Linked DNA regions of Caenorhabditis elegans. The protein of the gene in region 1 purifies or fractionates together with the protein of each later gene. This does not show direct contact. Each region holds a gene or a part of one and is shown in the gene's direction. Other genes may lie near its edges. The genes, in order: C29F5.1, acox-1.6 and pinn-1.

Region 1 (3,755 bases):
ATTTTTATAGTAATGAAGTTTGAATTAAGAAGTTCTCTTTTGTTAAAGTTAAGAATTCACACAATGATCTACCTTATCAAGCGCGAGAAACAATTTGGCAGTATTGAGCTAACATTTCTCAAAAAATAACGGATTTTTAGAGAGATTAAAAATAGAGGATTTTTCAAACTGGAGGCCCGGATCTGGACAATTTTATTTAATTTAATTTAATTTATTACGATAGAAGATATCGTGAGGTAGGAAAAAAAACACACATTAATAGATACAAACCATCACAAGTGGTTACATAAATAAATTACATAAATAAAACGAAACAAAAATAAAAAAAGAGATGAGAAGAAAATAATGGCTACATTGGAGAAGAAGCAAAAAACACAAATATCGATGTATAAAAGGCAAGAATAAATGATGAATAGAAGTGAGGATAAGGTAACATTAGATCAGTGTTGCTTCATTGTGGGTAGTGTTCTGTTGACAAAAAAGTGTCTCCTAAGTTTAGATTTTCCTGTGCTCCAGATATATTTCTTTTTAGAACGAGTGTGGGTCTCTTGTTGCTCAAAAAACTCAGATGTTTTTAAGTCTACTTTACCAGTATTCATTCTGATTACTTGGATTCTGTCAATTATTTTACGTCTCGTGCTTAAGGTTTGGAGGTCGAATAGTTCGTTACGTTCCATGGCAGTTTTGTAATCTTTATCAGTTGGATTAATATATCTTTTTTTGATTCTACTATAAAGGCGCCTAGAAAATGCGTTTTGTACAGACTCTATTGCTTTCTCATCCGATTTTTTTGTCGGAGAAGACACTACTGTTCCATATTCTAAACGAGGGCGGATGAAAGTTTTGTATAAGAGAATCATTAGTTTCTTATTGGAGGTACTGTACTGGTTGAACATGTTGGCCAGTTGAAATTTAGCTAGATTGATACATTTCTTCCAATGCTCAGAGAAATCCAGCTTTTCAGAGAATAAAAATCCAAGGTCTCTGGTAATAGCTTTTCGTTCAATAGGGTAACCGTCTAGGTGGTATTTGAAATCTATTCTACGTTTTTCTACAGTGACGTGAACTGTCTTTGATTGGTTTAGAGTGAGTTTTGATCCCCTTGTCCAATCTACTACAGCATCTAGAGCAGACTGTAAATTGTTTTCGCTTTCAGTCTTAGGGGTCGATACATACAATTTCGTGTCATCTGCAAACTGTTTACATGCTACTTTTTCGGGTAATATTGATGATATATCATTAACATAGATACCAAACAAAAGTGGTGACAGAACTGCGCCTTGTGGGACGCCACAAGTGGCCAATTTTCTGGATGACAGCGTTTGCCCAATTCTAACCCTAAAGCTTCTATTTGATCCTTTGTTGGCACAATCTTCTGGAAATTGATACTCCTCGATATCCAATTGATCACAAACATCGATATTCTTCAGAGTCTCTTTTTTAAATATCCAATCAACATTATTTAGCATATTTTGAAGGGAATTAACAGTCTACAGAAATTTATATTTATTCATCCTTTGTGAACAGTATGGAAGCGTTTTGAATAAAAAAGTTCCCAAGTTTTTGTTTAATGTTGCTCGAATTTTTATTTGCTAATCTTTTTGAGGTTTGAAATCTAACTGGTTGGGAAATCGTTCTGTCTAAAATTTATCATTATGAGCTTTCAAATAAAATATTTGTCATTCTACAGCCTCGTGATACAGATTTCTGTCTTTAGAAAATTATAAATTAAGCGAACGCTGAAATACTTATTCTCAACATTTTAAATTATTCGTTATCACAAAAACGTAGCCCAATGCTCCCACTCCAGGTGATGGTCAATCGATGTGTGCGTGTGTCCTCCAAATCTATACGAAATCTTTTCATTGTCTTTATTTTCTCCGAGATATTGGGATCCCGTCATCATCATCGGTGTTTCGAAACTTTGTCGATGAGATTGGACGGGAGCTCCTGCTCCCCCGCATTGTAATCTTATCTGAGTCTCTGTCTTCATAGACTATTTTTTGTTCCCGAACACCCCCTCATGTGCTCTCTCTCTCTCTTTCGTAGGGATCCGTTGTGCTGAAGAATGGCCTCTCTTTAAAACACAACACGTCGCTGGACAGATCGCCGTATAGCCGCTGTTCGATATGTCTGCCGACGGATTCTGGTTGTTTGAAGGTCTTGAAGAAGAACCATACGGTCTTCTTCCATTAAACAATTTATCTGGAAAGGTGAGTAGTTATTAAATATCGATGTAGGACTTTTTTTTTGGTTGGAGAATGTTTTTCTAGCTATTGTATTTCTTTACTTATTAATGAATTTCACAATTGAGAAGATGCCGAGCATTCACTTATGACCAACCAACATGGTAAAACTTCTTGATATTTTATTGTATTAGTTTAAAAGTTGTCTTCTAGATTTTTTGCTACAAAAATTAGAATTTTTAAGTTTCCTAGCTTAAAATTTTAAATGTCTTATGAAAATATTATAATTAGAAATATATGGAAGTTTTTTAAAAATATATGGAAATTTTTTTGTTGTATAAAGATCCATTAAAAATTAAATGATTTGCTGAAGATTTTGTGGAAAAAATGTATGAAAGTAAATGTGAGATTACAGTAAACGTGAGAGCGAATCATCTACTGTTTTCGTTAATAAAAATCAATTTTACAGGGAGGACCAACAAGTACAAAATATGTAGACCGTATTGGATCGTATCAATGGTATCTCAATGATGAGACAGCAACTATTCTTGTTCCAGGAGCACCTGTTGAATCATTCTATTGGCCAGGTGGCAAGTTGATGCAAGATCATGGAGTGATTATTTATGACGTCAATCATTTGAAAGTGAGTTCATAAGTTGTTGACTGAAACACGAGTTGAAGCACGAGAAGCGTGTAGATTTTTTTATTTGGAAAACAAAAATCAATCCATTTTTACAAGCAATGTGCTGATTTGGAAATCAATATAATTACAGGTACGGGAAGGATCTTTGGATGCCATCATTATTGCGGCACGTTTGCTCAGTGAGAAAAAGAAGAAACCAATCGATTTCTCTCAATTCCATTTTATCACGGATGCTATCAATTTGCAAAAGATTTTTGCATTCTGTAATGAAGCCGGAGAAGGATTGTTCCGAATCGATTGTGAACGCGTTGGAAAGACTGTTCTGCTCACTAGGTAAAAATAAATAGGTAGTATATATACCTATGTATAGGTAATAAATAAAAATAAGGTACCGTATATCCTCTATTAGTTTTGCACCCCTTGGCTCAACTTTGGCAGCTCATATCTCAGTAGTCGTTTGTTCTATAGAAAAGTTGTCAACTGATAAAATATTTGTTAGGTGGTTTTCTATAGTATGTAGTTTGTTAATTATTTATATGTTCAAAACAAAATGAGATATGAGCTGTCAAAGTTGAGCAAAGGGGTGCAAAACTAATAGAGGATATACGGTAGGCATGCAAACTGAAAACGAGAAAATTTAGTTTTATCTGTTTATTAAAAACTTTTTTGTTTTTAAAAAGTTTTTATAGTTTTCGTGATGCTTAGTAACTGGATTTTTCAAAATTCAGAAAAGTTTAGAACTTGAAATAAATTCTTGAAAAATTCGCACCAAAAAGTGAACATCTGCCTTGTCAGCCCTTCTCAAAGCAAAACTTCTAAACTTTTCGGTATTCTTATTTACTCAAAACAAACCAATAATTGTATTTCAGAATGGAAGCTTCTGATTTAATGGAAATCGGACATGTAACTTTTGATCAAAATCTGAA
Region 2 (3,755 bases), on another chromosome or scaffold:
AATTTTTCTTCAATTTGCCAACTTAAATTTTTCTAATTAATTTTTATAAATTGCCAGAAAATTGTTAGACTCCTTGTTAAATTCCTGATTGAACAAACAAATACATTTGTGTTAAGAAACCACGTTTCAATTGAATTATTAATTGTTTCAGTTTCCATTTATTCAAAACGAGAAAATATAATATAGAAAAAATGGATTCCGAAAACAAAAATCCCAAATAAATGCCATGTTTGATATCTAAAAACTTAAATTTTACAAGTGTGGGGGAATAATTCTCAAGAACGGAAGAACATTTTGTATCATGTTTTTATTTAACTTTCAAGATGCGGTGTTTATCTTGCACTCACAAATTTTTTTATCAGAAACTATCTATTCAAATCTGTTTTTTTTTTGTCAAACTACATAGCTCAATCTCAACTTACCCAGTTAAATATGCGACCAGGAAATTTTGTTCCAAAGAAAAAATGAAACCGATAAATTTAAAGTTGGAGTAGCGCCAGTGGGGAAAATGCTTTAAGACATGTATATGGTACCACAATGACCAAATATCATTGTAAAAAAATTTCTAAATTTCATATGATTTTTTGAACATTGAAAAAATCTCGAATTGCATCAACTTCCTATTTGAATTACCGCCAATAATTCGATGTTCGATGGAGCGCGTTTGTATTATTCTAACTTTTATTTATCAATTTTTTTTATTTTTGATTGATTTTTCATGTTTTTTTTTGAGTAATTTTACTGGAAATTTAATGGAAAATTCAAGAGAAATGTAAATTTGTTATTAAAAAGCGGGCGCTGAAGCCTAAATCTGTGAAATAGAATATTTCAGGCTCAACGTCGTTGGAAAACGTTATTTCTTTTTTTTTCAATTATTTTTAGTGAACAATCTACATTTATCTTGAATTTTTCATTAAATTTCTAGTAAAATTACACAAAAAACATGAAAAATCAATCAAAACTAAGAAAAATTGATAAATAAAAGTTAAAATAATGCAAGCGCGCACCATCAAACATCGAACTATTGGCGGTAATTCAATTAGGAATTTGATGCAATTCGAGATTTTTTCAATTTTCAAAAAATCATATAAAATTTAGAAATTTTTTTAAAAAATTTTTACTATGAGGTTTGGTCATTGTGGCACCATAGGCATGTTTTAAAGCATTTTCCCCACTGGCGCTACTCCACCTTTAATCTCATAATCAATTGTGCGGTTATTTTTGTCAATTTTTTGCACCAAGCGTATTTTTAAGAAATTATCAAAACTCTCTCCCTTTTTTGTATAATCAATATTCTTATAAACAAATTAATCCAGTTTAATCAGTCTTCGCGTCTACGTCTCCATGTTTTCAATTGACTCTCCGAGATAACAGGAATGCCTAACGACTACACTGTTGTCGTTGCGTTCATTTCATAAACACTTATTTGCACGTTTTTTCTTACGTGTTTTTTTCTATTTTCGTGTATCTCTGTTTTTTATAGATTTTCCTATAAGTCATATAAAAAGTTTTTTTTTTAAAGACAGTCTATTTAATCAAAGTATACTACAGTTTGAAGCAATTTCTTCAAAAGTGTTTCTATTATATTGGAACCGTAGTATAGTTTTAAACCAACGTTATCAATAAAGTTCCTTGTTATCATTTTTCCCGTTGTTAGCACGTAGTGTCCCATGTAGCCAGTCTATTTATTAGTACTTTTTAAGCAAGTTGTGTTGCTCTGCTAAAAAACTTTGATTTTTTTGTTGTTTTTTTTTTCTTCTAATTTTTCAAAGAAAAAATTTTGTACATATGTATTTCTATCAACTTACCTCTTTTTAGGAACTCACTGAAATTTTTGAAATGAGTCGATGGATTCAGCCAGGCGATAATGTAGACATTACCAATGAACGGAAAAAAGCTACGTTTGACACAGAACGTATGTCAGCTTGGATACATGGAGGGACTGAAGTTATGAAGGTAAGCTTTAGTCTGCATTTGCTAGAAAAAGGTAAATATTAATTCGAAAATTTATATTATTAACTTTTATGGATGATTTTCCAATCTTAATTCAAAAATTATGCCAAAATAAATAACGGAGCTTCCAAAAACAGTTAGTTATTTGGAAAAAAATTCTTAATGTTCAGCGTCGCCGTGAAATTCTGGATTTTGTCAAAAGCGTTGACGACTTCAAAGATCCGGTTCCAACAGAGTTTATGTCTCGCGAAGAACGCATTCTGAACAATGCTCGTAAAGTTGTGGCAATGACAAATAACACCGATCAGATTGATGGATCTGACTTCTTCGGAGAAGGAATGTATTATCAAGCGTCAGTTTTTTTTTGGGAATTTGGTAAAAACATATTAACTGAAAATAATTTAAGATTGACGATGGGCCGTGATCTTCATGCAATGTCGCTTCATTACGTTATGTTTATTCCAACACTTCAAGGTACTATTTTTAGAGAAGTAGAAACCTGAAAATGTTTTCTTCGGAACATTAGAAGTTGTTCCAATATAAAATTTTCAAAAAGAGACTTTTGAAAAATGTTCAAAGTTAAATTCAATTAACTCAAAAAATCACGCATTATTGGCAGTTGCAGCTTTTGATCTTGAGTAGTTTTAAATCTTAAAACTTTTGATCAAACTTTACATTTCAAATGCAACTGTAGTGAAAAAAAAATCTTAAAGGTGGAGTAGCACCAGTGGGGGAAATCTTAAAAACCACTCCAATTGTCTCAAAATGACCAAATATAATAATAAAACTCTTACAAAACTTTTTTGACAATTTTTTATTTAATGTCAAAAAGTGACAATTACTCAGTTTCTGCCACTCATAATTTTGGAAGTCGACCAAAAAAAAAAGTTTTTTTCTTCATTTTTTATACTGTAATTTTGTTTTAACTATTAGTATTAAAACGTTGTAGGGGTCGGGACATGCGACATTGCTTTGAAATTCCTCAAAAACTCATATGTTTCAAAATTTTGGCAACTTGCCAAATAGGTGTAATTTGGCAAAATCCCCAGTGGCGCTACTCCACCTTTAATAGTTCATATTCAATTTAACACTTGCACGGGGCTCCCATGTCGACCCCGAAAACAACTCTCTCACGGTGCGCTCCAAAATTTTTATAGCGGTGCGCGGAACCTAAAAAGTGTCGGACGCGGAGCCACGTTTTCACAAAATAGTGCGATAGGGTATGTCACCATTTGGTGGAGACTTGGCTCCGCGTCCGACACTTTTTGGGTTCCGCGCATCGCTATAAAGACCCCTACTTGCATTTATGATGTAAATCAGAAATCCACGTTAAAATCCAAATTTATCAAATAAAACTTTCTCAGGTCAAACTGACGATGATCAACTGGACGAGTGGCTTACCAAAGCAATTTCCCGTGCAGTAGTTGGAACTTATGCTCAAACAGAACTCGGTCATGGTACAAACCTTTCAAAACTGGAAACCACTGCAACTTATGATCCAGCCACAGAAGAGTTTGTTATGAACTCGCCAACAATCACTGCAGCCAAGTAAGTATTCAAAATGTGATAAGAAATGTGATGGTCTTAATTAAGATGGTGGCCGGGAGGCTTGGGTAAATCGTCGAACTACGCTGTGGTTGTTGCACAGTTGTACACAAAAGGAGAGTGTAAAGGACCTCATCCGTTCATTGTGCAACTTCGCGATGAAGACACTCACTATCCACTCAAGGGAATTCGTTTGGGAGATATTGGACCAAAACTTGGCATCAATGGAAATGACAATGGATTCTTACTTTTCGATA
Region 3 (3,755 bases), 3.4 Mb from region 1:
AAATTAGAGAAAATCGCATTTTTTTGGGATTTTTGAGAACCAATTTTTCATAATAAAAAACAATTTTTAGTGCTGAAAATCCGCATTTTGGGGGTTTAAAATGTGAAAAATCCGGATTTTTCCGAGAAAAATTTAGTATTTGAGCTAAACAGCCGAAAAACTTGCCATTTTCATGAAAATTTCACTAATTTTCCGCTAAAAATCAGAAAATTGGCAATTTTCGGGTTAAAACTCTAAAAAATCGTAATTTTTCGGGGTTTCAACGCGATTTTTCAATTAAAAATCGGTTTTTTGCGGAAAATTGGCCAAAAATTTGGAAATTTTGGATTTTTAAAATTAAAAAAAAAATTTTAAGATTTTTTAAAAATAATTTTGATTTTTTGGCCTAAAAATCAAAATTTTGGCCTTAACATTAAAGGATTTAGCCTTAAAATTTTGGATTTTTTGAATTTAAAAACAAAAAAAAATTGAATTTTTGGTTTAAAAATCGTCAAAATCGCCCGGAAAATTGGAAAATTCACTTTTTCCTAAGAAAAATCGGAAAAAATGGTCCATTTTTCGAAAAACTGAATTTTTTGACAAAATTTTTACGCCAAATTTTGGATTTTTCCACCAAAAAAAACCCATGAAATCGCTCGAAAAATTAGAAAAATCGCCTTTTTTTTCGGAAATTTTTAAGCCGATTTTGTGAAAAATGCGAAAAAATTGCCCCGGATTCGCTAATTTTTTGGGTTTTTTTAGTAAAAAAATCGTCAAAATCTCCCGGAAAATTGGACAAATCGCAATTTTCACCAATTTTCAGCCCAAAAAACCGAAATTTAGCCTAAAACTGCCAAATCGCTCGGATAATTAGAAAATTCACAAGTTTCACCAATTTTTTAAAGCTATTTTCTCAGATTTTTGCCTAAAAATTGCCAAAATCTGCTGGACAAATTAGAAAATTCGCAATTTTTACCCATTTTTGGCCATTTTCTGGGTTTTTCCGCAAAAAAACCAGATTTTTGTGTTAAAATCGGCCGGAAAATTGGAAAAATCGGATAAAAATGGTCGATTTTTACCGAAAATCGTCCAATTTTCGACATTCTTGTACAAAACCCCGAAAAATTCCAATTTTTTGCCAATTTTTCCATTTTTCGACCAAAAAACTGATTTTTCGTGCGAAAATTGCGCCAAATCACTCGAAAAATTGCAAAATTCGCATTTATAGGCCGATTTTTTAGAAAGTCGGCGAAACATTAAGCCATTTTCGAAGTTTCTCGGGAAAAAACAGCGAAAAAATCGAATTTTCGCTTGTTTTTTGCTGGATTCGTATTTAAAATGCAATTTTCATCAATTTTCCCATCGAAAAACCGGAAATAACCTGCAAAAACCCCTTTTAATCGCCAAAATTATGCGAAATTCGCGAAATTATTAATTCACCTCTTCTCCGAGAGGACTCCGTGGCCGCGACGACCGATTCTCCATAGAGCGCGCTTGCCTAAAATCGATTTCTCGGCCGCGTTAATCAATTTCCATCATTTTTCACCAATTTTTAACCAATTTCTTGCAGAAAACATCCATCCTACGTGTACGATTTCTCGAAAGCACCCAGCGAATGTTGTACAAGAGTCAACGGATCGAATATTCCATAATTTATTGCATTTTATCGCATTTTTTACTGAATACGGGCCAATTTTCCAGATTTCTACGGTTTTTCCGCGCATAATAATTGTCTTTCTCGTATAAATATTGCATTTTTCCACATTTAAACCGATTTTATTCATTTTTCCCCCCGAAAAATCGTTGATTTTTCCCAGAAATACCTATTTTTACGCAAAATCCCCAGAAAAACCCATACATTCTCACAGATGTCCGATAATTCGCTGCCAGCCGGATGGGAAAAGCGTCAGAGCCGCTCGAATGGTTGGAAATTCGCGAAATTCTGCGAAAAAAATCGATAATTTTTCCAGATCGCGTCTACTACTTCAACACGGCCACCGGCCGCAGCCAATGGGAGCGCCCAGACGAGTCGGCGTTTGGAAAAGTGAGAAAATGGCAATTTTTAGCTGATTTTTCGCTCAAAATCACTCAAAATTCGTGATTTTTCGCGTTTTTTCACCCAAAAACCCCGCAAAAATCGATATTTTTCCAGGGAAGCGAGCTAAAATCCGTCCAATGCCTTCATTTGCTCGTAAAACACGATGGAAGCCGTAATCCATCGTCTTGGCGGTCCGATCACATCACAAGATCCAAGGATGACGCGATTAACATCCTCAAAAGTGCGGATTTGCGGAATTTTCGTGAAAAATCGGATTTTTTAGCTCGAAAAACGTGTTTTTCCTGTAAAAAATGCCAAAAAAACCGGATTTTCGCCAATTTTTTATATTAAAAACCTGAAAAACCGTGCGGAAATTTAATTTTTAGCCGAAATTTTCGATTTTTCTCGAGAAAATTTCTTAAAAAAGCAAATTCTCTGATTTTTGACCAATTTTCCGCGCAAAAAACCGATTTTTAATTGAAAAATCGCGTTGAAACCCCGAAAAATTACGATTTTTTAGAGTTTTAACCCGAAAATTGCCAATTTTCTGATTTTTAGCGGAAAATTAGTGAAATTTTCATGAAAATGGCAAGTTTTTCGGCTGTTTAGCTCAAATACTAAATTTTTCTCGGAAAAATCCGGATTTTTCACATTTTAAACCCCCAAAATGCGGATTTTCAGCACTAAAAATTGTTTTTTATTATGAAAAATTGGTTCTCAAAAATCCCAAAAAAATGCGATTTTCTCTAATTTTACCCGGAAAAATGGGTTTTTAATCGATTTTTCTTCATTTTTCAGCCTAAAATCGGCATTTCAGTCAGTTTTTCACCGTTTTTGTCCGAAAAAAGCACTAAAATTGCCGTTTTTTGCTTTAAAAAAATGAAATTTTTGACTAAAAATTGTATAAAAAAAACGAGAATTTCGGGAAATTTGCGGTTTTTCGCATTTTTTCCTTAAAAATCACTTGAAAAACCGAGAAACATTTTGATTTTTCAGAGTAATGAGCCGAAAATTGCCAATTTCCTGAATTTTAGCCGCAAAAATTCCAGAAAAAATGATTTTTATCGACGTTTTCTTAATTTTCAGCCTAAAATCTGGCATTTTCGCGGAAAAATGGCCAAAAAAGCTCTAAATCACCCATTTTCACAGTAAAAACCTAAAAATTCGCGCGGAAATTCAATTTTCAGCGCTAAAAATCGATTTTCCCCGGGTTTTTGCTGAAAATTGCGGATTTTCTCACATTTAGCCGAAAAATTGGATTTCATCATCGATTTTTCTTCATTTTTGTGTCTAAAATCGGCTAAAAACTGCATTTTGCAGGTTTTTTACTAAAAAAAAAATCGAAAAATAGCTCTATTTTTCGATTTTTCGACAGAAAAAGTATATTTTCGCCGAATTTTCCAATTTTTCAATGATTTTTAAGCTAAAAAATCGGAATTTTTGGTCTAAAAATCAATATTTTTTCATTCAGATTACGAAAAGGAGCTGAAAGATGCGTCGAACATTGAGGGAAAATTCCGTGAACTCGCCAAACAATTCAGCGATTGCAGTTCGGCAAAACGTGGCGGAGATCTTGGGGTACTGTAACCGCCGGGCGGAGGAAAAGTACCGAAAAAACGCAAATTTTTGCCCTGAAAAGTTCAAATTTTGTTGAAAAATGTCGTTTTTCCTGAAATTTTTGTGTGAAAAAGCTTCAAAAATACAATTTTCCTTCGATTTTATAGCTGAAAAAAAGCCT

What was found.
Region 2: the proteins of C29F5.1 (region 1) and acox-1.6 fractionate together in Caenorhabditis elegans (co-fractionation; one large-scale study listed by BioGRID). This does not show direct contact.
Region 3: the proteins of C29F5.1 (region 1) and pinn-1 fractionate together in Caenorhabditis elegans (co-fractionation; one large-scale study listed by BioGRID). This does not show direct contact.

Annotation. Positions count from the first base shown.
Region 1 is NC_003280.10:6,301,426-6,305,180, forward strand, and holds the start of C29F5.1 (START domain-containing protein), read left to right. Parts: upstream 1-2,099; 5' UTR 2,100-2,129; coding exon 2,130-2,213; intron 2,214-2,655; coding exon 2,656-2,829; intron 2,830-2,959; coding exon 2,960-3,162; intron 3,163-3,698; coding exon 3,699-3,755.
Region 2 is NC_003284.9:15,836,610-15,840,364, reverse strand, and holds the start of acox-1.6 (Acyl-coenzyme A oxidase), read left to right. Parts: upstream 1-1,818; 5' UTR 1,819-1,839; coding exon 1,840-1,956; intron 1,957-2,123; coding exon 2,124-2,305; intron 2,306-2,359; coding exon 2,360-2,427; intron 2,428-3,317; coding exon 3,318-3,501; intron 3,502-3,546; coding exon 3,547-3,755.
Region 3 is NC_003280.10:2,887,098-2,890,852, reverse strand, and holds the start of pinn-1 (Peptidyl-prolyl cis-trans isomerase), read left to right. Parts: upstream 1-1,845; 5' UTR 1,846-1,847; coding exon 1,848-1,902; intron 1,903-1,949; coding exon 1,950-2,023; intron 2,024-2,131; coding exon 2,132-2,258; intron 2,259-3,488; coding exon 3,489-3,595; intron 3,596-3,755. Other genes in the region: Beta-1,3-galactosyltransferase sqv-2, read left to right, coding at 1,550-1,631.